Linked DNA regions of Stegostoma tigrinum. The protein of the gene in region 1 interacts with the protein of each later gene in a pairwise test. Links are inferred from orthologs where the notes say so. Each region holds a gene or a part of one and is shown on either strand. Other genes may lie near its edges.

Region 1 (7,853 bases):
ATTTAGACTTAAATAAAGAGGGTGGTCAAGAAATTTCTGAATGATGTGAAAAATGGTAGGGTGGTAAAACCAACTGACCAAACAAGACTTTTTTTTTCCTGAAGAAGGGTCCTGACCCAAAACATCAACTTTTCTGCCACTCTGATGCTGCCTGGCCTGTCCAACTCCACACTGTTATCTGATCAGACAAGAGAGCTGGCTAAGTGAGAGTGGCCTAAATGATAGTGAAATGTTAATGATCCAATTAATGTAATCAATAACAAGTTAGAATTTGGCTTGATGGATTTTATTTTTGCCTTTAATGAGGTGGTTGTTCACTGAAAATATGTGATGCTGCAGATTTGTTTTAAATAATAAAGCAGGAGTTTATTTTGCAAAACTAATGAAGATGAAATAGAAAAAACCAAACTATTTACATATAAAACACATTTTAAATACATTTTAGAGACTTTGTAACATGCCATCACTACATTACGTTCAGCAGTTCCCCTTTATCCCCAGCACAAGTTGCTCAATTGGTTAAGCATGATTTCCTTTCATAAACCATGTTATTCTGCCTGATTGCATTCATGTTCTCAAGTGCCCGGCTACAATTTCTTAATTAATAGGTTCTAGCATTTTCCTTCCACAGAGGTTATAAAATAATGGTGGAACAGGCTTGAGGGGCTAAGTGGCCTAATCCTGTTCCTATGATCGCACAAAGCTAATTGGTCAGTAGTTTCCTGCTTTCTTTCTTTTTCCCTCCCTTTTTGAATAAAGCAGTTAAACCCACTACTTCCAATCTATAGGATCCTTCCCCCAAATCAAGGGAGTTTTAAATAATTAGAACTAATGCTTGAACTCCTTAATCATTACTTTTCAGACCCTGGCATAAAGTCTATCAGGACACATGGATTTGTCAGTCCGCAACTCCAGCAATTTCCTCAGCATCTCTTCTGTGATGAATCTATCTTTTATTTTTGAGCTCCTCCTTCCTTTCTATTTCCTGACTTACAGCTATTCCTGGAATGATACTTGTGTCTTCTGTTGTGAAAACTGATACAAAATGCCAAATCTTCAATTTATCAATCATCTCCTTATCTTCCCCAGACTTTGTTTGACAGAACCCCACTCACTTTTATTTTACAAAAGAATAAAGCTAATGAAAGCTCCTATGATCAGTTCTTTTATTTCCAACTAGCTTTCTCTCTTACTCTTATTTTCCACTGTTATTGTATATTTGTCCTTCTCTGCCTTTTATGTTCTGAGTAATTTTTTAATTGCCACCCATCTTTATACAATTTTATGTGTTTTCTTTAAGTTTAACAGTATCTTTAACTTTTCTAGTTAAGATGGAGTGGCAGGTCCTTCCTCTAGATTTTTTTTCTCTCTCAGTGGAATGTAATCATTCAGTATTCCTTATTATATCCACTTAAAGGTCTGTCATTGGTAATCTATTGACAGACTTCTTAACCTAATTTGCCAGTCCATTTTACCTGTTTTCATATCCAGTGCCCTTAATGTAATACCTTTTTAATATGCTAAAAATTAAGTGCAGATATGACCATTGAGTAAAGTTGGCACTTATGTAAAACTGCTGATATTTCTACCAATCTATACATTGAAATTTCATTTATAATCAGTTGGTGCTAAATGCATGATCTATGTCTACATAAACCTGCTCTTTCACTTCTTCACTATGTGCAAAGTCAGTAATGGTGATAGCATTTTTTTTCTGTTTGTCTCACAACTGGCATCATTTCTGAGACAATCAAAATATACAATAATCAGAATTGAGAGGTTAGGCCAATGGCTATCTTCCAATAGTTACACCATATCATTCAGCTTCTGTGCAAAACTATCATTGCCACCTATGACTATCAGCACAATTCTTTGTTCTGTGCCTTGTCAAAATGAACCTTGATTAAAAACGAAAAGAACTGCGGATGCTGTAAATCAGGAACAAAAACAAAGTTGCTGGAAAAGCTCAGCAGGTCTGGCAGCATCTGTGAAGGAGAAAACAGAGTTAACATTTTGGATCCGGTGACCCTTCCTCAGAACTTTTCGGAACAGTTCTGAGGAAGGGTCACCAGACCTGAAACATTAACTCTATTTTCTCCTCCACAGACGCTGCCAGACCTGCTGAGCTTTTCCAGCAACTTTGTTTTTGAAAAGAAACCTTGATGTTTCCTGAAGATGCTGTCAACATTTTATTTACTGTTTTGTGAACAGTGCAAAAGGTAACCAATTCATTGTAACTACTTGACTTGATTAAGAGGTGAACTATACTTAGAGCATTTTTTTTCCACACTTTTCCCACTGCAGTATTCTTTTTATTCATTCACAGAATGTGGGATTGTTAGCCAGGCCAGACAATATCTTGAGTTAGTATGTTTTATTTTCTCCATAGTTCTGGTCTAGATTCTCCCCTACCTTTCATATAACTCCCCAGCCCTCCATTCATATACAAATAAAGTATTCAATCTAGAACATTCATCAAGATCTCTGGTCACTAGGTTTTTGGTTTAGCAATAGTACACTTTACTTTGAGGTAGACAGTCATGGATACAAGCTCATCTGTTAAAAGTTCACCTAATTTTCTAGAATTAGAAAATCTTCAGTGTCATTGAAAAATAGTGGGTGGAATTTGATTCCTGCCTCTATTCCTAGTATTCCAAATTTTGATGGATTGATGCAAGGATGATGCTGGCTAGCTCACAATGTGCACTTCCAAGCTGGCATGCTGTATTTGTGGAAGCATTCTCTTAGCCTCCCACAATTTTCAAGGAGTCTGGTCAGCTTCTGGATTGCTCATGGTTCGTGGCCCCTCAGAACAGCTGTGAACCATAATTAGAATGTTTTGAAAAATAATTTCAAAAAGTCTTTCATGTATTTTCCAAGCCCCTCCCATTCCTGTTCATGTTCCCTTCAAATCACTACCTGCACAGAACAGAACCACTGATCTGTACAGTAACAGTAATGTTGTTGGACCTGTTCAGAAAACTACTCATCCATTCACAAATCACCTTTTGAAAAATGAAATCATCCATACAACCCAATGAAAAAGGCTCAATCAAAATTATTAAAAATGTTCATGACAGGCTTCAGACACTTCACACATTTATTCTTGGGCAAAAAAAAATTGTGACATTGACATGAGATCCCAGAACTTGTTATAACCACTTAAAGATGTCAGTCGAGGAAAATTAAGAATTTTCTTCATTTGTCAAAACAGAAGCCCCTACCAAGATAATTCTTTTGGGTCTGAGTTTTGAGCCAAGGATCCGTAATAAGAACAGGTGTAAGAAATCTGTCAGCACAGCTGAATGCTCATGGCGTAGGTTGGTTGGATGAGAGGATAATGAGGAATGGATGGGCTTAAGACATGAGTGCATTACATCTTTTATAACACTACTGAGATAAAGAAATGAGGTAGGCTTTCTGAAAAAAAAACAGCCTGCCATCATGGCCAGCAAGCTTCTTAGGTCAGTAGGTACTGGTCTATCTCATCTTTCCAGATACCCCACCAGAGTATTGATCGTGAGATTTAAGCTCCTTTCTAATGAGACAAATCAGTTAATTCGGAAATCCCCCAATTCAGCTACCCATTTTAGCAGAGAAAATTTAGTCCTAAAATGTCAATTTATTTAAGTATGGCTAGGATTTTTTTGCTTCTTAGACAATCCTTTAACCAAGGCCCCATCTGCACCATCAAAGGAATTTTTAAAAAATCATATGGTACATCAAGGATGTGGAAAGTTTTATGGGGAGGAGCAGGTAGATAGAGTTGAAGCCTCAATAAGATCAATCATGGTCTCCTGAATAGCAGGAAAGAACTAATTGGCTAAATGGCCTACTGTGTTCCTGCTTTTTTTTGTACATACACAAGTGCTATCACATGCAACTTTCCCATCACCAAAATCACTGATTTTTTTTTCCCCTTTTTTAACCACCACCAGTAAATCATTTGGGTAGCCAATTAAATATTTAAATATAAAGCCTATGAAGGGCAATGCAAAACATCAAAAGTGAACAGGGGGTTACGGTGAGAGGGAAGAAGCCAAAAAAAGTCAATGGATTTGTGCATATGTTTGTCATGATCACTATTAGAATCAGTGCGTGTAAGGTGACCTAGCTCATATTTGTCCTTCAACCAATATCTCCAATTATCTGGTTATCTACTTTTCTGCTGTTTGTGGGGTCTAGCCTGTGCAAATTGTCTGATGCTAATAACTGCGTGTCAGATATGTTTTGCGCAAAATACTACTGGTGCAATAAATCTGAAACAAACATAGAAAATGCCAGAGGCATCGTCTGAATTCTGAAGACTTATGCTGGACTCGAAACATTAACTTTTGCTTCTAGCTGCACACATGCTGCCAGGCTTGCTGAGTTTCTCCAGCATTTTCGGTGATCATTCAAAACGTATTTTTGGCTGTAGGGTACAAGATCCTGCAAGAGACCGTAATAAAGCGTTTTCTTTTTCTTAAGCATTCCCAACTTAAGGTCAGAACGGCATGGAACAATCAAATGTATTGGGTTTTTTTTCTATGGATTACTAGAACATTTCTGACACTGCTCTGAACCTCCCGATTTTAAACCAGGACTTGAAGCACCCAGGTCATTCATGGCTTACAGATTTTATTTTGAAAAAGAGTACGAGACAAGGGATCAGTTGTATTTTTCGTGACTGCAGCGGGGAGTTTACCACAATGCCCGCCAACCTCGCACAAAACTATCTTTCAAGATAAATGCAAAAAATATTTTCCGATACAAAATTATCAAGCCAGGTTGTCGAAACCCGCGGTGTTTTCACAACATTTAACCCCTTATTCACAACATGCGGAAACAAATTTTTCTGTCCGATTTTCCGTGCGTGCGTGTGGGATGGGAGTTCGTTCGTGAGTAGGGAGCCGGGTCTTGGTTAGAGTCTTCCCCCCGACATGGGAAACCGAGCCGGAGAAAGATATGAGACAAGTGCAGAGCTGGAAGAACACAGCAGGCCAAGCAGCATCAGAAGAGCAGGATGGCTGAAGTTTCTGGCCTAGACCCTTCTTCAGAAAATTTATCTCTGAGAAAGATAATATTCCTCCAGATGTAGACGGGCTGCCGGGGCGGAGAACCGTACCACGATGCAGACGGGTGCGCGCAAGGGTTGATCGGTCCTTCCTCTTCGCCTTTGGAGGTTTTTTTCCGGTGGGTTACCTCCCGGAATTGTGCCTGATTGAATGCGGTTACTTTGTTGTCGGTCGCAGTACAGTACGTGATTGGGCATTGAGCTGGAGAGAGGCAGAATGTAGCGGCTTCTCCCCAGGTAACGGGTGGTTTCTCCCAGATGTCTGCCCGAAACAGAAAGTCAGACTCGGCGACATTGTTGCCACATCACTGCCGGGTTGGATAATTACAAAGCAGCAGTTTCCCGTCCCCCCTGACATCGCATCCGGGAAAGCCACCTAACGGGACGTGATTTAATTAATTTTACGCAGAATCTCTCTCTTTCAGTCTGCTCCCGTTAATCGGCCTCTGGTGCCTTTGTTTGATATTCAATGCGCAGTGCCTTCAGCCTCCGATATGAAACTACTCGCTCTCCACCACCACTGACTGAGAGCAGCGAAGATGACGACGGGCTGGTGACTGGTGATTTTTTTTTTTCTTTCTCTCTCTGGCCGAATTAATATCATACCTTGGGTAGTCAGCGTGCCCAGCGAGATGCAGATGTTTCTCAAACGACTCGAGAATAAAACGGGCTGGTATTCATTCGGCGACACGATGCAATGAACTCTTACTGGCATTGCTCGTGAACAGATACCCTTGGCCGAAATTTCTCGGAGAAAGATACTGTTTCTCTGAAACGTAGGAACCGCCGCCCACTTCTTCATTCACCTGTAATTGCGTTAAATTTAACCAGGATTGCCTTTAAACTGGAGACAAAGAAAATGAGGGAACACTCAATTATATAGGATACCGATTTTGAATTAATAATTTATTGCAGGGTATTTATGCTTATGGAACATCATTTGTAAAAGCGTTAATATAATACCGAGATTGGAAGTGACGCCGCCGACCTACGCCCTGAAATGCCTCCAGATAACGCCTGTCATTTTTTTTAAAAACCCTGAATAACTTACAGCCCAACATTAATGTGGGATGCAACGGCAGTGCACAGGAGCCTGTGTACATTTGGTGGCTTGCTTACAAGCACGGATTTTGATTGGCTTCCTGCTGGCCCGGTTGTTTGAAGCTTTGCTGCTGAAACTTTACCTATTTATCGATACAAACCAGCTAGCTTTTTAATTATTCTCCAGAACCCAAGGTCAAAGCCCACGTGAACTAAGTTTGTGACATTTCTCTTCATATTTAAACACATTGGCTGGTTGTTTTTTGTGTGTGTTTATTTTAGCTACTTCAGTGTTCAGTCAACTACATGCTGGAGAATGAAGGAGGTTTGTAGGATCTGTGCCCGGGAACTGTGTGGTAACCAACGACGATGGATCTTTCACACAGCTTCCAGACTAAACCTACAGGTTATCCTATCTCACGTACTGGAAAAAGAGGTATCTCGAGATGGCAAGGCAGAGTTTGCTTGCAGCAAATGTGCATTTATGTTAGACCGTATCTACAAATTTGATACAGTTATTGCAAGGATTGAGGCACTGTCCATTGAGCGTTTGCAGAAGTTACTCGTAGAGAAAGATCGTATCAAGTACTGCATAGCTAGTCTATATCGTAAAAATAATGAGGAGCCAAGTACTGACACCAAGGGGGAGGATGTTGCAGTGGGGAGCTCCAACCTACCTGATGTTCGGTATCATGCACTGCTACAGGATGACTTTGTATATTCTGGATTTGAATCATGGACAGAGCAAGGTGAGGAAGCCATGGAAACTCACAGTTGCCAGACTTCAGACACCTCAAGCTACAAATCCCGGAAGTGTCGCAGCTGTTCAGCCTTGCGTGTGACTGATGCAGATTATGAGGCAGTTTGCAGACTACCTCGCAAGTTGGCGAAGACTGTTTCTTCTGATCATTCCATTAAGTGTGGAAGTAGTGTGGTGGGCAGCACAACTGCTGAGGAAGGACTTGCAATGCCAGTCATATGTGAAACGGTGCCTGTTGGGCAGTGTGAGTCTAGGACTTCTGTCTATGCTGACTCACTGGATAAAATATCTCCAGCCTCTTCTGTTGAATCACTTGGTCCTACGGTGGAGTCTTGCTCTGGGCAGACCAATGAAGCAGCACAAGTAGAAAAATGTGCCAAAGATGACAGAAGTCCCAAATCAGACTTTTCAGATGGTCAAGGAACCCATCCTTTGTTGTATAGACAAAAACTAGACTTTGTCCTTGGCTTGGTGAAGAATGTTGAATATAGGCCTGTACCGATCCCAAAAGGCAGCAAACTGCCAGTTCCAGTCAGGCCTTCTCCATTGGGCTCTCAATCAAGTGGTACTTTGGATGGGACTTCCAGGTCTCATTTACAGAACAATGCTTGTGAAATTGTTAACAAAGGCATAGATCCTCTCAGGATGCACCTTAACTTTGATGATGTGGCAGATCTTGAGGAACTCTTTCAGGACGTCCTTGATGAATATATTCCAATTTGCACCCAGGTATTTGAATTGTGACTACTATCTAATTTGTTATCTTCCCAATATTCTTCTGACCCAGATTAACACTTAGAAGCAACAGAGCCATCGGACAAATCTCGGTGTAATATTTTAAAATAGTTGCTGAGCTTTTTTTATTTAATGACCCAACCCCCCAGCCCAGCATAAATAAACACAAAATGCTAGAAAAGTTATCAGCAGGTGTGGCAGCATCTGTGGTGAGAGAAACAGAGTTAACATTTCAAGTCCAGTCAGAGTGAGGAGTCATTG
Region 2 (7,594 bases), on another chromosome or scaffold:
TTGCCACTTATACTTTTGTATGATCTGTTGATCTCTCTGCCCATAAATTATGTGTTCTGCACACTTCTCTGTCACTTCACTTGGTGAAGGGCAGCCCTCCCAAAGCTTGTGATTTCAAATAAACCTGTTGGACTATAACCTGGTGTCATGTGACTTCTGACTTTGTCCTCCCCAGTCCAATACCTGCACGTCCATGTCATATAAAGTTCAGGTAGGTGTGATAGTCCTGAATAAGCACCTGGTGGACCACATGAAAATTACAAACTTGCAAACAGTGGAGTGGGAAAATGTGCTCAGCTCCTCAACAGCTTTTCTGACTGTTCCAGGATCTGTGGGTTCTCCCTCTCCATCAAGCATTGAATAATACCTTGGAATCTGAGTGGGACATGGTGGATGAGGGGCTGTTAATTTTGTCCAATCAGGAAGTGTGGGCTGACAGGCATAAACAGGAGTGTCAGACATAATAGGAAGTGCAGACGCTGGAGAATCTGAGATCACAAGGTGTGGAGCTGGACGTCCTTGCCACTGATCTAGCTCCCACTGAGCCAGATCTCAGAGTGAGCAGGATGTCTGACACTCTGAGATCACAAGGTGTGGAGCCAGATGAACACAGCAGGCCAAGCAGCACCTTAGGAGCTGGAACGCTGACGTTTCGGGCCTAGACCCTTCATCAGAAATGGGGGAGGGGAAGAGGGTTCTGAAATAAATAGGGAGAGAGGGGGAGGCAGATTAAAGGTGGATAGAGGAGAAGATAGGTGGAGAGGAGAGTATAGGTGGGGAGGTGATAGGTCAGTCCGGGGAGGATGGACAGGTCAAGGAGGCGGGATGAGGTTAGTAGGTGGGAAATGGAGGTGGGAGGAGGGGATTGGTGAGAGAAAGAACAGGTTAGGGAGGCGGGGACGAGTTTGGCTGGTTTTGGGATGCAGTGGGGGGAGGGGATGAGCTGGGCTGATTTTGGAATGCAGTGAGGGGAGGGGAGATTTTGAAGCTTGTGAAGTCCATACTGATACCATTGGGCTGCAGGGTTCCCAAGCGAAATATGAGAACTGATCCTGTAACCTTCGGGTGGCATCATTGTGGCACTGCAGGAGGCCCAGGATGGACATGTCATCTAAAGAATGGGAGGGGGAGCTGAAATGGTTCGCGACCGGGAGGTGCAGCTGTTTATTGTGAACCGAGCGTAGGTGTTCTGCAAAGCGGCCCCCAAGCCTCTGCTTCATTTCCCCGATGTAGAGGAGGCCACCATGGGAAGAGCGGATGCAGTATACCACATTGCCAGATGTGCAAGTGAACCTCTACTTGATGTGGAAAGTCTTCTTGGGGCCTGGGATGGGGGTGAGGGAGGAGGTGTGGGGGCAGGTGTAGCACTTGCTGCAGTTGCAGGGGAAGGTGCCGGGTGTGGTGGGGCTGCAGGGGAGTGTGGAGTGGACAAGGGAGTCACAGAGAGAGTGGTCCCTCCAGAAAGCAGACAAGTGTGGGAAGGGAAAATTGTCTTTGTTGTTGGGTTCGGTTTGCAGATGGCAGAAGTGTCGGAGGATGATGCGTTGGATCCGGAGGTTGATGGGGTGGTATGTGAGGAAGAGGAGGATTCTCTTTTGTTTGTTATTGCGGGGACGGGGTGTGAGGGATGAGTTATGGGAAATGCGGGAGACATGGCTGAGGGCGTTCTTGACCACAATAGGGCGGAAGTTGCAGTCCTTGAAAAACGAGGACATCTGAAATGTGCGGGAGTGGAATGCCTCATCCTGGAAGCAGAGGCGGTGGAAGCGAAGGAACTGTGGAGAGGGGATGGCATTTTTGCAGGAAGGTGGGTGCGAGGAAGTGTATAGGTAATTGTGGGAGTCAGTGGGCTTGAAATGGATGTCGGTTTCTAGGTGCTTGCCTGAGATGGAAACAGAGAGGTCCAGGAAGGTGAGGGAGGTGTAAGAGATAGTCCAGGTGAACTTGAGGTTGGGATGGAAGGTGTTGGTGAAGTGGATGAACTGTTCAAACGCCTTGTGGGAACACGAGGTGGCACCGATACAGTCATCAATGCAACAGAGGAGGAGGTGGGCTTTAGGGCCAGCGTAGGTGCGGAAGAGGGACTGTTCCACGTAACCTAAAAATAGGCAGGCGTAGCTTGGGCCCATGTGGGTACCCATGGCCACCCCCTTTGTCTGTAGGAAATGGGATGAATTGAAAGAGAAGTTGTTGAGGGTGAGGGTGAGGACGAGTTCGACTAAGCAGATGAGGGTGTCATTGGAGGGAGACTGGTCGGGCCTGCGGGACAATAAGAAGCAGAGGGCCTTTAGGTCATCTGTATGAGGACTGCTGGTGTTTAGGGTCCGGACGTCCACAGTAAAAATGAGGTGTTGGGGACTGGGGAATTGGAAGTTCTGGAGGAAGTGTAAGGCGTGGGTGGTGTCACGGACGTAGTTGGGGAGTACCTGGACCAAAGGGGAGAAAATGGAGTCCAGATAGGTGGAGATGATTTTGGTGGGGCAGGAGCAGGCTGAGACAATGGTTCGACCAGCGGAGGCAGGTTTGTGAATTTTGGGAAGGAGATAGAAGCGGGTGGTGCGGGGTTGGGTAACAATGAGATTGTTCACTCTCACTCCCATCCCCAGATCCCAAGAAGACTTTCCACATCAAGTAGAGGTTCACTTGCACATGTGCTAGTGTGGTATACTGCATCCGCTGTTCCCGTTGTGGCCTCCTCTACATTGGGGAAATGAAGCAGAGGCTTGGGGACCGCTTTGCAGAACACCTCCGCTCGGTTCGCAACAAACAGCTGCACCTCCCGGTTGCAAACCATTTCAACTCGCAATCCCATTCTTCAGATGACATGTCCATCCTGGGGCGCCTGCAGTGCCACAATGATGCCACCTGAAGGTTGCAGGGACAGCAGCTCATATTCCGCTTGGGAATCCTGCAGCCCAATGGTATCAATGTAGATTTCACAAGCTTCAAAATCTCCCCTGCCCTCACCGCATCCCAAAACCAGCCAAACTCATCCCCGCCTCCCTAACCTGTTCTTCCTCTCACCCATCCCCTCCTCCCACCGCAAGCCGCACGCTCATTTCCTACTTACTAACCTCATCCCGCCCCCTTGATCTGTCCGTCCTCCTGGACTGACCTGTCTCCTCCCTACCTACTCACTTCTACTGGCTCCACTCCTGCCTCTTTAACTTGCCTGTCTCCTCTCCACCTGTCTTCTCTATCCATCTTTGATCTGCCTCTCCCTCTCTTCCTATTTATTTCAGAACACCCTTCCCCTCCCCCATTTCTGATGAAGGGTCTAGGCCCGAAACGTCAGCATTCCAGCTTCTAAGGTGCTGCTTAGCCTGCTATGTTCATCCGGCTCCACACCTTGTGATCTCGGAGTGCCAGACATCCTGCTCACTCTGAGATCTGGCTCTTTGGGACCCAGATCGGTGGCATGGGCATGTAAATAAAGGATGGCTTGGTGATGGGATACTGGCTTTGTGGACTTAATGCATTCATGACAATCGTTTGAAAGATTTGTTGAGGCAATGTTCCATTGTTGAACTGTCACATCCACAGTCCCTCAGATATTGACACAGAAAATATTGAAGAAAGAATTTCCTCAGCAAATGTTAATGCAATTATTTGAATCCCTCACAGGCTTAGTTTGAAGATTTGTTTTTTTCATAAGAGGACAATCAGCATCTTATTTTACACAGATTTTGTTTTTCATTGCATGGTATTAAAAATTGATTCAATGTGACTCGCGACTATTTCTTTCTGCTCTATTTAGCATTTACACTTCCCCCAGATGGCAAAAGTCATCAGATTTTCTGAGGCTTCTCTGCATGACTTTGCACTCAATACGCTAAGAAAAGTATAACATTATTATTGAAATATTGCTGAAACACAATTGTTGGAGGGTTTTTCTCTTTACTGCTGTCAACACAACATCACTTAATCTGGCATCAGAAACAAATGAAACAAGCAATTAATTCAGAATCTCAAATTTTCATTTTCATTTGTCTGTTTACTGTCGTCAAGAAATTACATTGGATTAAATTCTTAAAAGCATTTACAGAAATAGAGAGGAGGGAGAGGTGGTAGTTTTTTTTACACATATATACTATATTAATAGCAAACGTACCAGTCACTACAAAAAAAGGGTAACGTGTTCAACATATATTGCTGTGCATTTCTCCATCTGAAAGATTTAAAATACTGCAGGGCTAGTCTTCGGCACATGGCAACAGAAGAATAATTTCCACAGGCGAGACAGATCCAAGATGATGAAGCATTCCTTTCGATTGAAGTTGATGTGTTTTATATAAATGTTGCAGCCGAGGGCGAAGAGGAGGGAAGGTGGGGGCCGAATGTCCCCACGGGTGGTGGGAGGTGGGTTGGAACCGAGAGATGAAAGCCCTTCACAACCACAAATCAGGAGGCACGTCTGCTTTCCTCGAATGAGGACGCAGTGGGGAAGAAGCTGGGCTGCTCAGTTGGAGTCAGAACCAATCTGTTCAAACACCAGGCGCTGGAGCTTTCGGTGGTTTCAGCTCTGGGCTGCGTTTAGCTCAACCATCCTAAACCAAACCTTGATGCTGCAGTGATGTACTGAACAGCTGGGGGAATTATTTTTTTTTCTCTCTCCGATAAACAAATCAAACGGTAAACTTGAACGTCGTGTCGGTGTTTGTGGTTCTCAGATTTTAGGTGGTTTAAGTCACTGTAGAGGCTTACTTATTGTGTGATCTCTGTGTCTCTCTCTCTTTCGCCTAGTGACCAAAGAGTAACCATGGACGTTTTCATGAAAGGGCTGTCCAAGGCGAAGGATGGGGTAGTAGCTGCTGCCGAGAAAACGAAGCAGGGAGTGGCAGAGGCGGCGGGAAAAACGAAGGATGGGGTGCTGTATGTGGGTAGGTAGAAAATTAATGCTTCACATGGCTGTCTTTTCAGACAAGAAATGGCACGGGGTAAAAACACACACAACTCCATTCACCCAATCTTACACCTTTGGGGGGATGGGGGTGGGATGTGTAAGAAACACGGAGGAATAATAGAAAGCTTTCCTTTTATTCTCTGGTAAGAACGGTGTGTGGGGTGATTTGTCAGACGGGGAGGAAGGATAGCTGCCACTTCCAAATCCGAAATATGGAAGTTGCAGAGAAGCAGAGCATCAAGTGTTTTGGCACCGGGAGGGAGGGAGATTTCTTTGTATATGTTTTTTAAAAAAAATCCAGAACTAATCCAGTGCAGATTTGTAAAACGTAAACCGTCGGGTGCTGAAAAGGAATTATTTTCCAACAAATTTAGAACGAATGTAACATTGGATGTGTGTGTGTTAAATTCGATGAGCGGGAAGGTTGCGGTCAAGGTCATTTCGTTGCTGAATTCTGAAGACCTTTTCTGCTGTGTGCACTGAGTTGGGGACATTGACACGTGTCAATGGTAAGGCCAATGTAATTTATTTCCTGCAGCTTGAAATTTAAGGACTTAAACCCGAATTTGATCTATTTTCCTTTAAATTTGAGGTTTTTAATGTTTTCCACGGGCACCCCCCCCCCCCCCCATGTCTGTCTTGCACTAATTTCGGAACTGTCATCATTATTATTATCTATGTTGTTGAAGCAATTTGTTTGACATAACACACCTCAGGCGCAGGTGGGATTTGAACCTGCTGGCAGGCTGTCATTTCTCCAGCGGTCCAGCTAGAGGGAGGAGAGAAGATGCGAGGGTGAGGATGGGGAAGGTACAAGGTCCCGGGGAAGTGGAACAATGGCGTGCTTAACCCCTGCCTAACAAGCAGCTCCCTGTTATTTCCAGATCCCGTGGCTCTTCCCCGGCTGACCAACCCGTTGTCAGTTTTTCCTGCTTTCGTTGATGCTAGCCTTTAACACCTCTCCACGCCTTGGCTGCTTAATTTTGACCTGAGCCTGGGGAAAGAGGATTTGCTGCTGTGATTTGTGACAATTTATTAATAGGGGTTTTTATTTATTTTTACTTCTTCTTTAATGTATTTATCTCTAGGCTCCAGGACCAAGGAAGGTGTATTTCATGGCGTATCTTCAGGTATCAATAATCAATAGAATTCTGTAATGTTATGTGTGTGCTAGTCTCTTTGTCTATATGTGTGGGTCTGTTTCTAAGTACAGAATTAGGAGCACAGAAAGAGGGCATTCTGCCTTCCATCATCTTCTGCTTTCCAGTTAGATCATGCCTGACCTTTAAATTAGTTTACTTCTGTAATCCTGAATATTCCTGCTGTTAAAAATCTTATCTTGGTTTTGAAATTTTCAATTAAGTCACAGCCTCAAATGTTTTTGGAGGAGGAAGTTCCAGATTTGCAATCCACTTTGTATGAGGAATTACTTCTTGACATCACCCCAAATTGGCCTGGTTCAAATTTTAATCTGTATTCTGCTTCTCCACCACCCCCCCCCCCCCACTCCCCGCCGCATCCCTGAGAAACTAGTCAGTCTCTCTGTCTCTTTCCTATCTACTCCTTTGATCGTCTCAAATCATAATTAGAACAGCTTTCATCTCAAGGAAATACAAAGCAAGTATTTGCAAACTTTCCTCAAAAGTTAACTGTTAATCCCAATATGTACAATGGGTCAGACTGACCTGTAGAATAGGTTTGAGCTTTTCTTTGATGCAACATATGAGAGAAGAAACAGCCACGTTGACTGTTACAGTGAGTATAGCGGGAGTATCTTGTACTACTGGCTTTCTGAGTAGTGAGTGTAGTTTCACCACCAGGCTTCGTGTTTAATGCCATTTCCTGTCTGTCTGTACTGTTGGCAGAACCTCCAGTATTACGTTGGTTTGCTACTGTGACCCACATGAAGCTTAAAAGTTGCCAGGCCGTATGGACTGTTTCTGTGTGAAAAATTTCTATTTAATACAAGCCATCATTGAGACTGAAAATGTTAGACGACCTAGATCAAGGTATGGTAATGTTGAGGCTTTAAACAGCAAGAGTGCAGTGTTCAGACATCAATATAGCTTGGCTCTACGGAGCTTGTGTGGATCCAGATATTCACTCATACTTAAAATCACACCTTATCTTGTGTTTAACTACTTATGTTTTCTGTATTCAAAGGCTGAGTTAATTCCTTTACGCATGTATAAACAAACGAGGGCAAGTTGGTGAAAGGCAACATCAAGAAATAGCTCTTCAGACCAAGAGAAATTAACTTGTTTGATTTGGTTTTTCAGATGGTGGCCAGAATCAAAAGTTGCAGACTTATTAGAAAGCTAATTGGATGCTGAGACTGTAGACGATTGGGAAATGATGAGTTCCGTGAGGTTGCCTCACCTGTGCAAACCTGTGGTCCTTTGTAACAGAATTATTTGGAGTACTGTTCTGTAAAGGTGGAGCATCTGATATTTCCACATGTAGCAACTTTCTATGTGACTGCTACCACTTGCTAGAGCTGTTGAAAATGGAAAAATGACCATGTGTATAAGTGCTGATAGATGCCAAACATGCATCTACCTTTGAGTAACATTTTAATTCGTCTCTGATCACTTTCCTAAAGATTTTTAATTTGACTCTTGCTCCTCTTGTTCCCTCATGGTGCAGTCCCAAAGGCTATAAGACCATAAGACATAGGAACAGAAATTAGGC
Region 3 (8,113 bases), on another chromosome or scaffold:
AGTGTTGTATTCTCCAAAACCACAGTATTATAATAAGCACAAGAATTAACAAATGAGAGTCTAGGATAATTCTATCCATTTTCTGCAGAAATCTGGATCACTGAGCCAACATTCCTGTAGATGCCATCGGCATTTCTAGAAAAACAATTGCACATTTAGTGCCAAGTGTAGCCTGACTTTAACAATAAACGACTCGATGGTTGTACAAATAAGTGTCAGGAGACAGTACTTCAGGCTTAATTATCAATAGATGAGCGATGCTGGAACCTACATTTTCTCACCAAGGCTTTCCAAATTGATTTCGATAGCCCGAGTGAGTTTGTATTTCAGACGGCACTGCAAATCAGGGAACACTCGAAAGGGGGTATTCATAAACACAACTTTGTTGCACGCTTGCAGTTGCTCTGCCAAGTTACTCAGCGAACTCAGGATTGGGATACATTCCGTCAGTGTACTTGCCCACAAATTTTGTTGCTGCTCAATAACATGGAAACATTTCTCCAAAACTTGATGAACAGCCAGCAAGGCTTGTCTCTGAGCCATGACTTTCTGCTACAATAACCTAAAAAGAAAATCACAAGCAAATGAATCCAATTGACAAGAAAAATATCCAGTGAAGTACAAATATCCAAAGAAATAAAAAAGGTAAAGCAAGTGTTTGATTTGTGGAAGTGATTAGACTATTAAGAGATTTTTTTTTAAATATATGACTTAGCAAACAATGTTCTTTAAAACTGCAGGTATTTAAACAAAAACACTCTGAAAATATCTGGTCATTCTTACAATTAAATTTCATATTAGCTTTATCTTGATCTTGGGCTCTAATTTTTTCCCTCCTTGTCAACCTTTGAACAGAATATAAAACCAGTACAGAATGACAATCTTCTGACCTGTACAATTATCTCCCTATAAAACTGATGCTATATTTATTTTTTCCCTTAATTACCATGGTTACCACAATAACCAGGAGATTGGTACTGAGTAAATTCTTGGAGCTGTAGGCTGGCAGATCCCCGGGTCCACACGGACTTCATCCTATAACCTTAAGTGAAGTGACTTGTGAGATGGGTGCTTTTAATTTTCCAAAATTTCCTCAATTTGGAGAAAATAGAGGCAAGGTGGAGTAGTCATGTCACTAGACTATTAATGGGGGACATGGAATCAAACATGGGTTTGAATCCCTCATGGCAGATGGTGAAACCTCAATAAAAAGCTAGCTAGTGGTGGCCATGTAATCACCACTGTTAAAATAAATCTGGTTCATTCATGTACTTTATGGAAGATAATCTCTCTCTCTGGTCTGACATAAATGTGACTTCAGACTGTCAGAAATGTGGTTGACTCTTCTGTGCTCTCTGGGCAGTAAATGTCATCTGGGCAATGCCACATCCTGCACATGGATCAAAGGAGTTTTGTTACACCGGAAGAAAGTGAAAATGGCACAATTCTTTTCAAATCAGACTTAAAGCAGGAACTCAGCCATAACCAGATGTTAAAAGCTACTGTCAAAGACAAAAGCACTTTGAAAAAATTCAAGTTAATCTCATAGAATCAACATAGCTTTGTTAAGGGAGAGTTAATTTTTTTAAAGGGTTCATAAAACCAACAACTGAACCAGCATCCACTGCTGTTTGTGGAACAGTGTTCCAAACATCTACCAGCTTGTGTGCAGACGTGCTTCCTAACATCTCTCCTGAATTGTCTGGCCCTAATTCTCAAACTGTGTCCCCTAGTTTGAGGATTCCCAACCAGTGAAAATAGTTTATCCATCTTTTCTTTTCCTGTTACATCATTTTTGTTTAAATCATGAAGACTACCTATTTCAGCCCCTGCTTGTTTTGAAAATGTCAACCATGTTTTCCAGACCAGAATATTTCATGCCTCTCATCCTTTTTAGTCTTGAGCTCATCCAAAACCCTGTTATCTGTATCCTAATTTCCAACAAAATGTTGTTGTACCCACACACTATTGCAGTTATTGTGTTTGCTGATCTGCATTTGCTTCCAAATCTCAGTAGGTTGAAGCATAAAGTGTTTAAATTCCTCAATCCCTTCCTAAAAAAAGATGTTGCCTGCAGATGTGGAATTCCTCCTTCAACTGACCCCTTCAACTTAAAACCCAATTCTGAATTTTAAGTTTCTTATTAATTTCAAAAATACACTTTATTCATTAAAAATATCTTGTGTATTATAAATAAATATAATACACACAGTACTGATCTGTGCAGTAGCATATCAAGAAAACAAACAGAAGTTGATTCTATCCAATCAAACCAAAGACATCTTTTTGAGTTTTAAGTCTTCCACGTAAACTTGTCCCTTCCGTAACTCAAGTGAGAATTTCTGATTACAATCTTGCGTGGTACTGACCAAAAATAACACCTCTATCCCAGTGACATTTACATAAGTAGTTAACAGCATGATGGTCCACAATTGAGAACAGATACTGGCCAGTTCACCAGAGACCACACTCTCTGGAAATGGCGCCTATGGGATTTGTTAGGGGCATCTGAGCAGGCATGTGGGACCTCCGATTAATATCTCACATGGGCGATGGAATCACTGTGCTCCTGTGAACTGACCGCCTTGAGGCGGCCTCATGGAAGCAATGGAAATGAACTACAACATGTCGGCAACAAAGCCCCATGAAAAAGCCTCCTCACAGAACGTTGCTGCTGACACTTTTCGAAGAATGTGCTGGAGAAGGGTCAGCCGACCCACAGCGTTAACCCCAGTTTCGTTCTCCACATATATGCTGACTGGCCTGCGGAGATTCCTCCAACAACACAGCAGGCCAAGCAGGATTTAGGAGCGAGAAAGTTGACGTTTCAGGCCTAGGCCCGAAACGTCAGCTTTTGTGCTCCTGAGATGCTGCTTGGCCTGCTGTGTTCATCCAGCTCCGCACCTTGTTATCTCGGATTCTCCAGCATCTGCAGTTCCTACTGTCTCTTCCTCCAACAATTTCTGCTTTCGGTTCAAGTTTTCAGAGGCGCGGTGGGCGAGAGTGACGCCGCGAGGAGCTCGACCAGTTAAGCGATTCAACACGCCCAAACGGGTGAGAAAAATAAAATAATACCCCGGCCCGACCAACGTACTCACATGTCAACGGCAGCGAGAGAAACTCCACAGCACTTTAATACCAAACGTCCCTACCACACGCCTTTATCCGCGCCTGCGCACATCTCACCCAACCACCAGGACTACAACCCCCATGATGCTCCGCGCGCAGTAAAAATTTTTTGGTATCCATCTCGCAAGAATATGAATATTACTGAGAAGACACAGACACACTTGGTTATTTTCGTGCTCTGTTCCTCCTTGGAGTTTAAAAATGATTTAGTTGCTGCAAGTTGAATTTTGGACGGTTGCTCTGTGAAGTGACATCCCACCATGATGGGCGATTGGATAGGTTTTGGGCCAGCCACGCTGCGATTGGGCATATCCTGGACAGTTCGTGCTGTGAATGGCTGATATCTGGGATAGCTGTGCTGCGATTGGCTGTGTCCTGGACAGGCCTTGCTGTGATTGGTTGATACCTGGCGCAGTTGTGCTATGATTGGTTGGACACGGTGAAGCAATCTGCCCCGGCCCACCGACGTCATGCTACCGTTAAAAAAGCACACCCAATGTCTCTGAGGTAACGAAGTGTGGAGTTGGATGAGTACAGCAGGCTAAGTAGCGTCTCAGGAGCACAAAAGCTTTGCCCTGTTGTGTTCGTCCAGCTCCACACTTTGTTATCTTGGATTCTCCAGCATCTGCAGTTCCCATTATCCCTGACACCCAATGTCTCTACTTCCTCAGAAGGCTAAGAAAATTTGGCATGGCCACAATGAGTCTTACCAATTTGTATAGATGCACCATAGAAAGCATCCTATCTGGACACATCACAGCTATCTTTTCAAATCAGAACTGGCACTCATGTATTACTTTATCTTTCTCACCCGCTTGGGCGTGTTGAATCGCTTAACTGGTCGAGCTCCTCGCGGAGTCACTCTGGCGTACCGTGCCCCCCTCGAGCCTCTGAAATGCCTCTGATGAAGGGTCTAGGCCCAAAACGTCAGCTTTTGTGCTCCTGGGATGCTGCTGGGCCTACTATGTTCATCCAGCCTCAGATTTTATTATCTCATGTATTGTACAGTTATTTTGTAACAATGCCTTAAACCAGTGTCATGTGAATCATTTCTGAAGAAGGGTCCAGACCGGAATCGTCAGCTTGTCCGGTCCTCTGATGCTGCCTGGCCTGCTGTGTGCATCCAGCTTTACACAGTGTTGTCTCCTGTGGATTGTCCTTGTTTACATTTCATCAAAACACTAAATGGCTTTGAACACCATCATTACCTCAACCACCCTTTGTTAACCACCCATAATTGCAAAAATGATGGTGAAGTACCTTAATAAACCATTGCAGTCCATGTGGTGTAGTTACACCGACAGTGGAATTATGGAAAGAGTTCAAGAGTTTTGACCAAGTTACAGTGAAGAAGAGAGTGACCAATTATATCAATTTCAGGAAGCGGAATGGAGGCCATGCCCCTGTCTGTATCAATGATGCTGAGGTGGCAGCAGTCAAGATCTTCATGTTCCTAGGAATAAATACAACAATAACCTGCCCTGGTCCATTCATGTCATGCTACCATTCAGGAAGAACACCAATGCCTCATCTTCCTCAGAAGGCTAAGAAAATTTGGCATATCCACAATGATTCTTATCAATTTTTATAGATGCACCATAGAAAGCATCGTATTTGGATGCATCACAGCTTGGTATGACAACTGCTTTGGCCAAGACCACAAGAAATTAAAGACATTTGTGAACACAGCCCATCATGAAAATCAGCCCTCCTTCCATTATCTCCGTGTACACTTCTCATTTCCTCAGGAAAGCAGCCAGTATAATCAAATACCCCTGCCATCTTGGTTATATTCTCTTCCACCCTCTTCCATTGGGAAGAAGATACGAAAGTTTGAAAACACATACTCATATTTAAGAACAGCTTCTTCCCTGCTGTTGTCAAACTTGAGAAGAAACCTGTCATATATCAGAGTTGATCTTTCTCTGTGCGTTCTCTACAGCTGTAACACTATGTTCTGCATTCTGTTCTATTACCCTGATGTAGTTGTGTACAATATGACTTGTCTGGTTCGTACGTAATGCAATACTTTCACTATCTCGCTACGTTGACCAATAATAAATCAAATCAAATCAAGATAGTTTGGTAATCAGAGCTCCATGTTTAAAATTGGCTAAAAAGTAGACAGTTGTTTTCACTTTTACAGTTTGGATCTAGAATGCACAATGTGAAAGACTCGGTGAACTAAATTCCACAGGAGCTTTCTAAAGGCAATTGAATGCATATTTGTAAAGTAAAAATTTTATGCAGTGGAGGGTTGAACTTGCGAGTAGGAATAAAATGGGAAGTTTAGATTAAATGACCCTTTTATAGTATAATATTTTATGAAAAGTTGACACTGAGACACATAACGCATTAGTACAGATGTCTAACAAAACTGATCAAAGCAGTACATTTTAGAGACGCCTTCCAAGAGGTTAAATGTTGGAATATCTGTGCTTGGGACCAAGACAACTGATGACACAGTTGCTAAACTCCATCCAGCCTGTGCCATTCAATCCTTCCTTTTCAGAGGCGACTTCAGCTCGGCACTAGTCTATGACAAACTCTCCAACAAGTAAACACAGGGCTATGATCTTCTCTTAAAACTGGTGTTCAGACCATTTTCTGTTTGCTATATAAGCAAACTCATTTAGATCTTTCACTGATAAGCAGGTCCCTAAGGTTACCTATCATTCCCCAATCAAATGTTGCTCACTGGGACAGTGAGATTTTCCGCGCAGTTAATTACACTTTCTACACTTCTTTTGGCCAATTTGTCAAAATGCTTTGATCGGACATGCTCGTTTGAAGATGATTCAGTGTGTATTATGGGTAACAGTTACTATTTAGAAGAATTTGATTTGTTAAAAAGGCAACGTATGTGATTCTTTGAATCCCTTTTCCCATTTTATCTCCTTCCCCCTCCTCTTTTCTCAATTCTGTCCATCTACTTTCCTTCTATCAAATTAACAGCCCAGCAATAATACCATTAGGCCATCATCTGCACTTATTAAAGGTCAAAAGTATAAAGCAACATTTCCCAACACCTTTCAGTTCTGCAGTTAGAATGATCATTCTGGACTTAAAATGCTAATCCTGTTTCTCCCTCCACTAATATTGCCAGATCTGCTGAGTTTCTTCATGATTTTGTGCTTGCTACGGTGAGGATGGATCTATTCTCACTCCAGAAGGGATTGAGATCAAGGCAAAGCAATTGACAAAAGACAGAAAGTGTGATTTCAGACAAAGCCAATTCCCATAGTATATGCATGGGATGCTATATGCACTGCTGGAGGAACAGCATTGATTGTTGTAGTCAGAAGGCTTATTCATTGGAAAGAAGCCGTAGATCAGCCGACTGATTGACTCTGGAGATAGTAGGAACTGCAGATGCTGCAGAATCTGAGACAACAAAGTGTCGAACTGGATGAACACAGCAGGTCAAGCAGCACCAGAGGAGCAGAAAAGCTGTCTTTTTAGGTCTAGACCCTTCTTCAGAAATGGGGGAGGGGAAGGGGATTCTGAAATAAGCAGGGAGAAAGGGGGAGGTGGATAGAAGATGGATGAAGGAGGAGATCGGTGGAGATGAGACAGATAAGTCAAGCTAGGGTTGGAGCCAGTAAAAGTGTATGTAGGTGGGGAGTTAGGGAGGGGATAGGTCGGTCCAGGGAGGACGGACAGGTCAAGGAGGTGGGAATGAGGCTGGTGGGTAGGAGATGGGGGCGGGGTTTGAGGTGGGTGGAGTGGATAGATGGGAGAACACGTTACGGAAGCGAGTACGAGCTGGGATGCTTTTGGAATGTGGTTGGGGGAGGGGAGATTTTGAAGCTTGTGAAGTCCACATTGATACCATTAGGCTGCAGGGTTCCCAAGCGGAATATGAGTTGCTGTTCCTGCAACCTTCGGGTGGCGTCATTGTGGCACTGCAGGAGGCCCAGGATGGACATGTCTAAAGAATGGGAGGGGGAGTTAAAATGGTTCACGACTGGGAGGTGCAGTTGTTTATTGCGAACCGAGTGAAGGTTTTTTTTGTTGAAGAAGGGTCTCGACCCGAAACGTCTAACTTTCCTGCTTCCCTGATGCCGCTTGCTCCGCTGTGTTCACCCAGCTCTACACCTGATTTTCTCAGATTCTCCAGCATTCGCAGTTCCTACTGTGGCTGTAGAGTGTGTACGTAGCCCGAGCTCTGATTGGCTGACGTTCGTTTCATGGGCGTGGAATAGCCTATGATTGGATGCGATGTGTTCGGCGGGTGTGGCCTGGGCTTTGATTGGCTGTCCGCGGGGGTTTGAAATTTAACTGTTGTCAGGGCGCGGAGCGCTGGAGCTGGAGCTGGAGCGGGAGCGGGATCTGACCGCCTGACTGACTGAGAGTGAGAGTTCGGGGTGAGTTGTGGCTCCGCCGGCTCGTCGTGAGCCGGAGTGTGCGATACGGAGTTGTGGGTCAGTCTGAACGGCCTTGGGCTGGCGGTGGTGGTACAGGAGCGGCTGAGAGGGGTCACTCCGGAAGGATTCACTCACTGCGGCTCGGCCCCCAGAGTGACACATGCCCCTGATCCTTGCAGAAGGAGAGAGAGGAGGGGAGGACATCGCCCCACTCATCGCCGCCCCCACCCCGATGGACACCTTTGTGTGTGTCCGTGTCCATGTCCATCCTTCGGGCACAAACACCGACTGTCACCGTCATTGAGGTTCTACCCCTCCCCGTTGGGGAAGGATGTTTATACCGGCATGACGTGGGTGGGGGGGAAGGGAAAGAAAGGGTTTGCAAGGAAGACGGAGAGCAGACCTGCTATGATCCACTCCAGGAAGTTCAACTTGTGATTGTGATTCCCACCTCTGCTGTCAGCATGACCCTCCAGTGCCTGGAAACATTGTTAGAGTTGGTAAGGTTCTTTCACAGGATTTGCAGTTGATGCAAATGTTTCCAGACCTCAAGTGGAAGGAAAGGGGGGGAACAAATTGCTGGAGGAAGGACTGGCTGTATCTGTGGAGAGGAAGCA
Region 4 (7,400 bases), on another chromosome or scaffold:
TTAAAAATGAATTTTAAAAAAGAAAAATCAGTCAAGAGACAACATAAAATCATCTGCTTACATATCTTAAAATACACAGTACATTTGCAATTATATTCCCATTGCTTTAAAAATGCATTGTATGTAAAATGGGAATGTTTAGTTGAACAAGCTTCTCTATAGTACTAATAGAACAAAAAACCTCATCTGGGCCCAGAAGAGCTTAGGGTGAATTGGAATGAGGAAAGATGATAATTTGGAAGAAGATTTACAACTTCCCTGTCATCAACTTTATCAACCTCTTACCATTAAAAGGGGATATATAGTTCAGAGAACTGTGGATGGATTAGTGATTTGAAAATGGTTGTTTTATACATAAAGATTGAGACTGTATTCATTACAGTTTAGAAGAAAGCAAGGTTTGTCTTATTGAAATAAGATTCTGAGGGGACTTCTCAGAGGTGCAGGGAAGAGGTTTCCTTTCAGGGAATCTGTCTAGAACTGGGGACAATTTCAAAAGGAGGGGCCTCTCAAGACGAATGAGAAGGAATTTCTTCTCTTGATGGGTCATAAGTCTTTGTAATTGTCTTCCACAGGGAGCAGGGGAGGCAGGCTCATTGAATATATTCAAATCCAAGTTAGATAACTCTTTGATGCATCAAAAAAATTTACAGATTATGGGAACAGATAGGAAATTGGGGTTAACACCATAAATTGGTCATAAGCCATAAATGGTGTTGTAGGGTCAAAGGGACCAAGTGGTTTACTCCTACTCATAATTTATGGCCTTACAACATTAAACTATTTTCATATGAGAGATAATTTTGCCTAAGTATACCTTGAAGGACGTAGTAAGTCAATCAAAACTCTAATTCCACAGACAAATTAAAAGTTGCATAACAACTACTTTTTACCTATCCTTACAAGCCACCCATATAAACTATCTTATTTCACACAAACTTCTAAGGACATAAATAAACACACACAAAAACAACAAACAAAAATTGACAAAAGACTTTTTCCTCCTCCTCATAGATGCAACTGCTGTGTCATCTGGGTCTTGTCACAGACAGCTGTGGGGCAGAGTTCTTGTGAATATTTAAGGCTAAGATAGATTCTTGATCAAAAAAAAAAAAAAAAAAAAAAATCGGGGAATCAAGGGTTATGGGGAAAGAGCAGGAAAGCGGACGTGAGGAATACTGGATCTGCTATAAATATATTGAAAGACGGATCATGTTTGATGGGCCAAACAGCCTGCTCCTGTTCCTATTTCGTAACGATCTAAGCCTGATCACATGCTCAAAACTAACTCCAGCAGCTCAAGCACATAAACCTCCCCCCCACCCCCAAAAAATGCTGAAACTCTGAAGCAAAACAGTCAGTAAAGTGATTCTCATAAATGAGTCTAATGCTAAAGCATTCGTCCCCTGCTGAACTAAGCGTGTGTATGTTGCATGCACTCTACATAAAACAGCAGTAAGTATTTAATTAACTTGGGATCCCCTTAGAATGGGTACTGACAGTGCAACATGTAGATAATTTCCCATTATTTCCATGGCCTTTTTATATTGGTTCCAAAATATCCATGGTAACTTCCAAAAGCCACTAAAAACGACGACAGGTACACCACTGTTTTAAACACATGGAAACAATTAGCAGATTTACAGAAGCAGCAAAGGAAACATGCCCGGATCCAAATTGTTTTTATGCTCCGGGCATCACGATCTCTTTTGGATCTCAAACTACTAGGGTTTCGCTGAAAAGACTGGCACCCTTCAAAACAAAAACGGGGATAACACGATGTGAGATAATAAAATGTGAGGCTGGATGAACACAGCAGGCCCAGCAGCATCTCAGGAGCACAAAAGCTGACGTTTCGGGCCTAGACCCTTCATCAGAGAGGGGGATGGGGTGAGGGTTCTGGAATAAATAGGGAGAGATGGGGAGGCAGACCGAAGATGGAGAGGAAACAAGATAGGTGGAGAGGAGAGTATAGGTGGGGAGGTAAGGAGGGGATAGTCAGTCCAGGGAAGACGGACAGGTCAAGGAGGTGGGATGAGGTTAGTAGGTAGGAAATGGAGGTGCGGCTTGGGGTGGGAGGAAGGGATGGGTGAGAGGAAGAACAGGTTAGGGAGGCAGAGACAGGCTGGGCTGGTTTTGGGATGCACTGGGTGGAGGGGAAGAGCTGGGCTGGTTGTGTGGTGCAGTGGGGGGAGGAGACGAACTGGGCTGGTTTTGGGATGCGGTGGGGGAAAGGGGAGATTTTGAAGCTGGTGAAGTCCACATTGATGCCATTGGGCTGCAGGGTTCCCAAGCGGAATATGAGTTGCTGTTCCTGCAACCTTTGGGTGGCATCATTGTGGCACTGCAGGAGGCCCATGATGTACGTCATCTAAAGAATGGGAGGGGGAGTGGAAATGGTTTGCGACTGGGAGGTGCAGTTGCTTATTGCGAACCATTGCTTATTGCAGGAACAGCAACTCATATTCTGCTTGGGAACCCTGCAGCCCAATGGCATCAATGTGGACTTCACCAGCTTCAAAATCTCCGCTTCCCCCGCTGCATCCCAAAACCAGCCCAGTTCGTCCCCTCCCCCCACTGCACCACATAACCAGCCCAGCTTTTCCCCTCCACCCACTGCATCCCAAAACCAGTCCAACCTGTCTCTGCCTCCCTAACCTGTTCTTCCTCTCACCCATCCCTTCCTCCCACCCCAAGCTGCACCTCCATCTCCTCCCTACTAACCTCATCCCACCTCCTTGACCTGTCCGTCTTCCCTGGACTGACCTATCCCCTCCCTACCTCCCCACTTATACTCTCCTCTCCACCTATCTTCTTTTCTCTCCATCTTCGGTCCGCCTCCCCCTCTCTCCCTATTTATTCCAGAACCCTCACCCCATCCCCCTCTCTGATGAAGGGTCTAGGCCCGAAACGTCAGCTTTTGTGCTCCTGAGATGCTGCTGGGCCTGCTGTGTTCATCCAGCCTCACATTTTATTATCTTGGATTCTCCAGCATCTGCAGTTCCCATTATCACTAACACGATGTGAGGCTGGATGAACACAGCAGGCCAAGCAGCATCAGGGGAGCAGGAAAGCTTGACGTTTCGGGTCGGGACCCTTCTTCTTTCAAGCTTTCCAGCTCCTTTGATGCTGCTTGGCCTGCTGTGTTCATCCAGCCTCACAGCGTGTTATTTCAGATTCTCCAGCATCGGCAGTTCCTACTACCTCCAAAACGAAAACAGGGTTCAGTTTCACAAAATGCACTTACCAAACTTTACCGGAGTGACCAAATCGATGCGAGTATCGCCGCTGATTTTTTCAGAAGTCACCACCATCTGTTTCAGAGCCTTGTCGTACTTCACCAGAACATCGTCCATATTCTCCCCTTGGTTTGGGGAAATGAGTTCGACGAAAGCGCGGTCAGCCGACGGGTAGCCGTGCGGGTCCAGCGGCTTCACCGACACATCGCAGGGCAGGCGCACCTTTAAAGAGCCGAAAGGATCTACCAGCAGAGTCCAGCGTTTCAAGGCGCTACCCTTGTGCCGGGAGTCCAGGCAGCGGGTGCCCGACACCGACCTCCAAGGCCGCAGACGGGCAAAAGACGGGCCGCATTCCCTCGGCAAAAGCGCTGACCAGCCTCGGCGGAAAAACAGAGGGAAGGAAGTCATGCCGGAGCCGAAACCAGGGACAGAATACCGGATCCTCCACGGCTCAGGAGAAAACCACAACGCCAACTTTCTGTTGTTATGGGTAGAGGAGAAAGTGCTGTCGGGAGTTGAAGTCCGCGCACGCATCTTTAACCGGACGATTGCGAACTACAATTCCCACAATGCAGTACAAACGGTTGCAGCTGTCCAAGCATTGCAGCGAGCAACGAAGAGCAACTAAGATAATAAAATGTGAGGCTGGATGAACGCAGCAGGTCCAGCAGCATCTCAGGAGCACAAAAGCTGACGTTTCGGGCCTAGACCCTTCATCAGAGAGGGGGAGTGGGAGAGGGAACTGGAATAAATAGGGAGAGAGGGGGAGGCGGACTGAAGATGGAGAGAGAAGAAGATGGGTGGAGAGGAGAGTATAGGTGGGGAGGTAGGGAGGGGATTCGTCAGTCCAGGGAAGACGGACAGGTCAAGGAGGTGGGATGAGGTTAGTAGGTAGGAGATGGGGGTGCGGCTTGGGTTGGGAGGAAGAACAGGTTAGGGAGGCAGAGACGGGTTGGACTGGTTTTGGGATGCAGTGGGTGGAGGGGAAGAGCTGGGCTGATTGTGTGGTGCAGTGGGGGGAGAGGGCGAACTGGGCTGGTTTAGGGATGCGGTGGGGGAAGGGGAGATTTTGAAGCTGGTGAAGTCCACATTGATACCATTGGGCTGCAGGGTTCCCAAGCGGAATATGAGTTGCTGTTCCTGCAACCTTCGGGTGGCATCATTGTGGCACTGCAGGAGGTCCATGATGGACATGTCGTCTAAAGAATGGGAGGGGGAGTGGAAATGGTTTGCGACTGGGAGGTGCAGTTGTTTGTTGCGAACCGAGCGGAGGTGTTCTGCAAAGCGGTCCCCAAGCCTCCGCTTGGTTTCCCCAATGTAGAGGAAGCCACACCGGGTACAGTGGATGCAGTATACCACATTGGCAGATGTGCAACTGTCTGTCATGCGCACAATAAAACAAAGAACTCAGGACGCCATAGATCTGAAAGAAGAAGTCGCTGGCAAAATTCTCAAGCTGGTAGCAACCGTGTGGAGAAAGCAGAGTTAACTCTCTGGTGAACAGATGCTGTCAGACCTGCTGAATTTCGCTAACAATTTCTGTTTTTGTCGCAGGAATGCACCTGTTCAGATACGTGAATAACACGGCTCTGGAGCAGGTGGGACTTGAACCCGGATCTTCTAATTCAAAAGGAGAAGCTTTACCACTGTACCCCAATTGTTGATGTCATTCAAAGAAATTTTTACAAAATAAGCGATTTTTCGCGAAATGTCTTCTGATGTAGATCTGCCGAAGGGTTCATGCCAAAGGCAGTCCTGCTGTTCATCCAGCTCCACACTTTGTTATCTCTAATTCCCGAAATGTCGCCTTCTCCTTTCCAAGTTATGTTGCCTAGCTTGCTGTGTTTTGACAGCCTCCTATTTGTCTACCTTGGTTCACAACTGGGTTCAGCGGATTTCTTTTGTATAACTTGAAGGACAGTTGGTGAGAGATTTAAGGCTGCACAAATATAAATAAAGGAAATGCGTTCGTAGTATCTAAGTCGTATTAACAATTAGTCTGCATTGCATGAGGGAAATGAGTTTATTGTTGGACTTTGAGATAGTAGGAAATGCAGATGCTGGAGAATCTGAGGTTAACAAGGCATAGAGCTGATGAACACAGCAGGTCAGCCAGCATCAGAGGAGCAGGAAGGCTGACGTTTCGGGTTTGGACCTTTCCTGCTCCTCTGATGCTGCCTGACCTGCCGTGTTCATCCATCTCGACGCCTTGTTATCTCTTATTGTTGGGCCTTTCCGGGTTTCCGGGATTTATTTTAGTAGCTTTGCTATTGGTCCAGATGAATCCCATGTTGCCCAATGGCTGGGTGCGAACTAACTGTGTGTATGGTTGCTATGGAGATGACGCTTGTTGACCACAAACTGGAAGAGGATCCCGGAGAGTGTCAGCAGCTCCTCAGGTACATCTCAAAGGCGAGGGCTTCAAATCTAGACGGCGCAGAACAGAAAAACAAAAATACCAGAAAGGCACCGATTACAGCTTTAATCCACAAACTCTAGTGTTGATGTTCTGACCCACACCATCACCAAGTGTGCACCCGCCCCATGTGGACTGACCACTCCTATCCCACTCACGGCCTTGTCTACACTGACCATCCCCTGGCCTATGTGCACTGACCACCCCACGTCCTGTGTAAACTGACAACCTCCGCGCTCTGTGCAATGTCCGCACCGCCGACCTGTGTGCACTGACCACTTCCCCTGCCCTGTGTTCACTGACCACCTCTGCCCTTGCCATGTCTGCATCAACCCCCAATATGTATTCTGACCACACCTACCCCCCCTCAAAGCCCAGTCTATATTGACACCCCTCCCCTGCCATGTGTGTACTGATCTCCTCCTGCCCTGTCTGCAATGACCTCTCCCCTGCCATGTATGCACTGACGTCTTCCCTGCCCTGTGTGCATTGATCACCTTCCCTTGCCCTGTGTATAATTACCACAGTACCCTGGCACATTGAACCACCATCCTATCCCGACCCTTTGCTCACTCACCTCCTTTATGGAATCAAGAGGTGAATTACCCAATGCAGATTTCTAAGCTCAGAAGCAGAAGTTGCAGGAAAAGCTGAGTTGGTCTGGCAGTGTCTGTTAAGAAAAATCAGTTAACTTTTGGGTCTGGTGGCCCTTCTTCAGAACAGACCCAAAATGTTAACTCTGACTCTTAGAACATAGAACAATACAGCGCAGAACAGTCCCTTTGGCCCTTGATGTTGCGCCGACCTGTGAACTAATCTAAGCCCCTCCCACTACACTATCCCATCATCATCCATATGCTTATCCAAGGACTGTTTAAATGCCCCCTTTTACTTCATAGATGCTACCAGAACCACTGGGCTTTTCCATTAACTTCTGTGTTGTTTTTTCCTGATTTACAGCATCCACAGTTCTTTCAGTTTTTGTTTGCAGTGTTCTAAGCCTTGGACTTGCTGTTGTAGCCACAGTACTAACATAGCTAGCCTAGTTCAATTTCTGGTCAATAGTGATCTCCAAGATGTTGTTTGTGGTTTTCAGTGATGCTAAGGGTGGCACAGTGGCTCAGCGGTTAGCACTGCAGCCTCATAGCACCAGGGACCCAGGTTCGATTCCAGCCTCGGGTGATTGTATGTGTGGAGTTTGCACATTCTCCCCATGTCTGCGTGGGTTTCCTCTGGGTGCTCCAGTTTCCTCCCACAGTCCAAAGATGTGTAGGCTAGGTGGATTGGCCATGCAAAATGGCCCGTAGTGTTCAGGGGTGTGTGGGTTATAGGGGGATGGGTCTGGGTGGGATGCTTCAAGGGGCGGTGTGAACTTGTTTGACTGAAGGGCCTGTTTCCTCACCGGAGGGAATCCAATGCTATTAAATGTCAAGGGCGGATGGTTGAATTCTCTTACTGGAGATGTAATACTGGGCAAAAATATAACTTGCCTCTTATCAGCCCAAAACTGGATGTTGCTCAGGTTTTGCTGCTTTTGAATGTACATGGACATATTCAATAGTTGAAGAGTTGCGAATGTTGTTGAACATTATGCAATTGTCAATAAACATCTCCAGCTGAAGATGACTGAGGCAAGAACACTACCTTAGGCAACTCCAGCAGTGATGTCATGTGGTTGAGATGGTTTGACCTCCAAGAACCACAGCTATCTTCCTTCGTGCTTGAATATGACTTCAACCAATGTA

Evidence for each region.
Region 2: the proteins of pde4dip (region 1) and alpha-synuclein-like interact in a two-hybrid assay, tested with the Homo sapiens proteins (2 studies listed by BioGRID and IntAct). The link is inferred for Stegostoma tigrinum from reciprocal best matches to the Homo sapiens genes PDE4DIP and SNCA.
Region 3: the proteins of pde4dip (region 1) and airim interact in binary tests that used the Homo sapiens proteins (3 or more experiments, as listed by UniProt). The two-hybrid records come from large-scale screens. The link is inferred for Stegostoma tigrinum from reciprocal best matches to the Homo sapiens genes PDE4DIP and AIRIM.
Region 4: the proteins of pde4dip (region 1) and ccdc146 interact in binary tests that used the Homo sapiens proteins (3 or more experiments, as listed by UniProt). The two-hybrid records come from large-scale screens. The link is inferred for Stegostoma tigrinum from reciprocal best matches to the Homo sapiens genes PDE4DIP and CCDC146.

The regions. Positions count from the first base shown.
Region 1 is NC_081361.1:47,556,692-47,564,544, forward strand, and holds the start of pde4dip (myomegalin), read left to right. Parts: upstream 1-4,846; 5' UTR 4,847-6,413; coding exon 6,414-7,586; intron 7,587-7,853. UniProt on the Homo sapiens protein: Functions as an anchor sequestering components of the cAMP-dependent pathway to Golgi and/or centrosomes.
Region 2 is NC_081354.1:9,864,346-9,871,939, forward strand, and holds the start of alpha-synuclein-like, read left to right. Parts: upstream 1-4,412; 5' UTR 4,413-4,632; intron 4,633-4,743; 5' UTR 4,744-4,759; coding exon 4,760-4,880; intron 4,881-5,991; coding exon 5,992-6,033; intron 6,034-7,594. UniProt on the Homo sapiens protein: Neuronal protein that plays several roles in synaptic activity such as regulation of synaptic vesicle trafficking and subsequent neurotransmitter release.
Region 3 is NC_081377.1:9,424,419-9,432,531, reverse strand, and holds the start of airim (AFG2-interacting ribosome maturation factor), read right to left. Parts: upstream 3,201-8,113; 5' UTR 3,099-3,200; intron 3,093-3,098; exon of another isoform or gene 2,905-3,092; intron 563-2,904; 5' UTR 544-562; coding exon 272-543; intron 1-271. UniProt on the Homo sapiens protein: Part of the 55LCC heterohexameric ATPase complex which is chromatin-associated and promotes replisome proteostasis to maintain replication fork progression and genome stability.
Region 4 is NC_081378.1:24,325,192-24,332,591, forward strand, and holds the start of ccdc146 (coiled-coil domain-containing protein 146), read left to right. Parts: upstream 1-4,386; 5' UTR 4,387-4,837; intron 4,838-5,573; exon of another isoform or gene 5,574-5,638; intron 5,639-7,400. Other genes in the region: protein FAM185A, read right to left, coding at 3,248-3,773. UniProt on the Homo sapiens protein: Essential for sperm flagellum biogenesis and male fertility.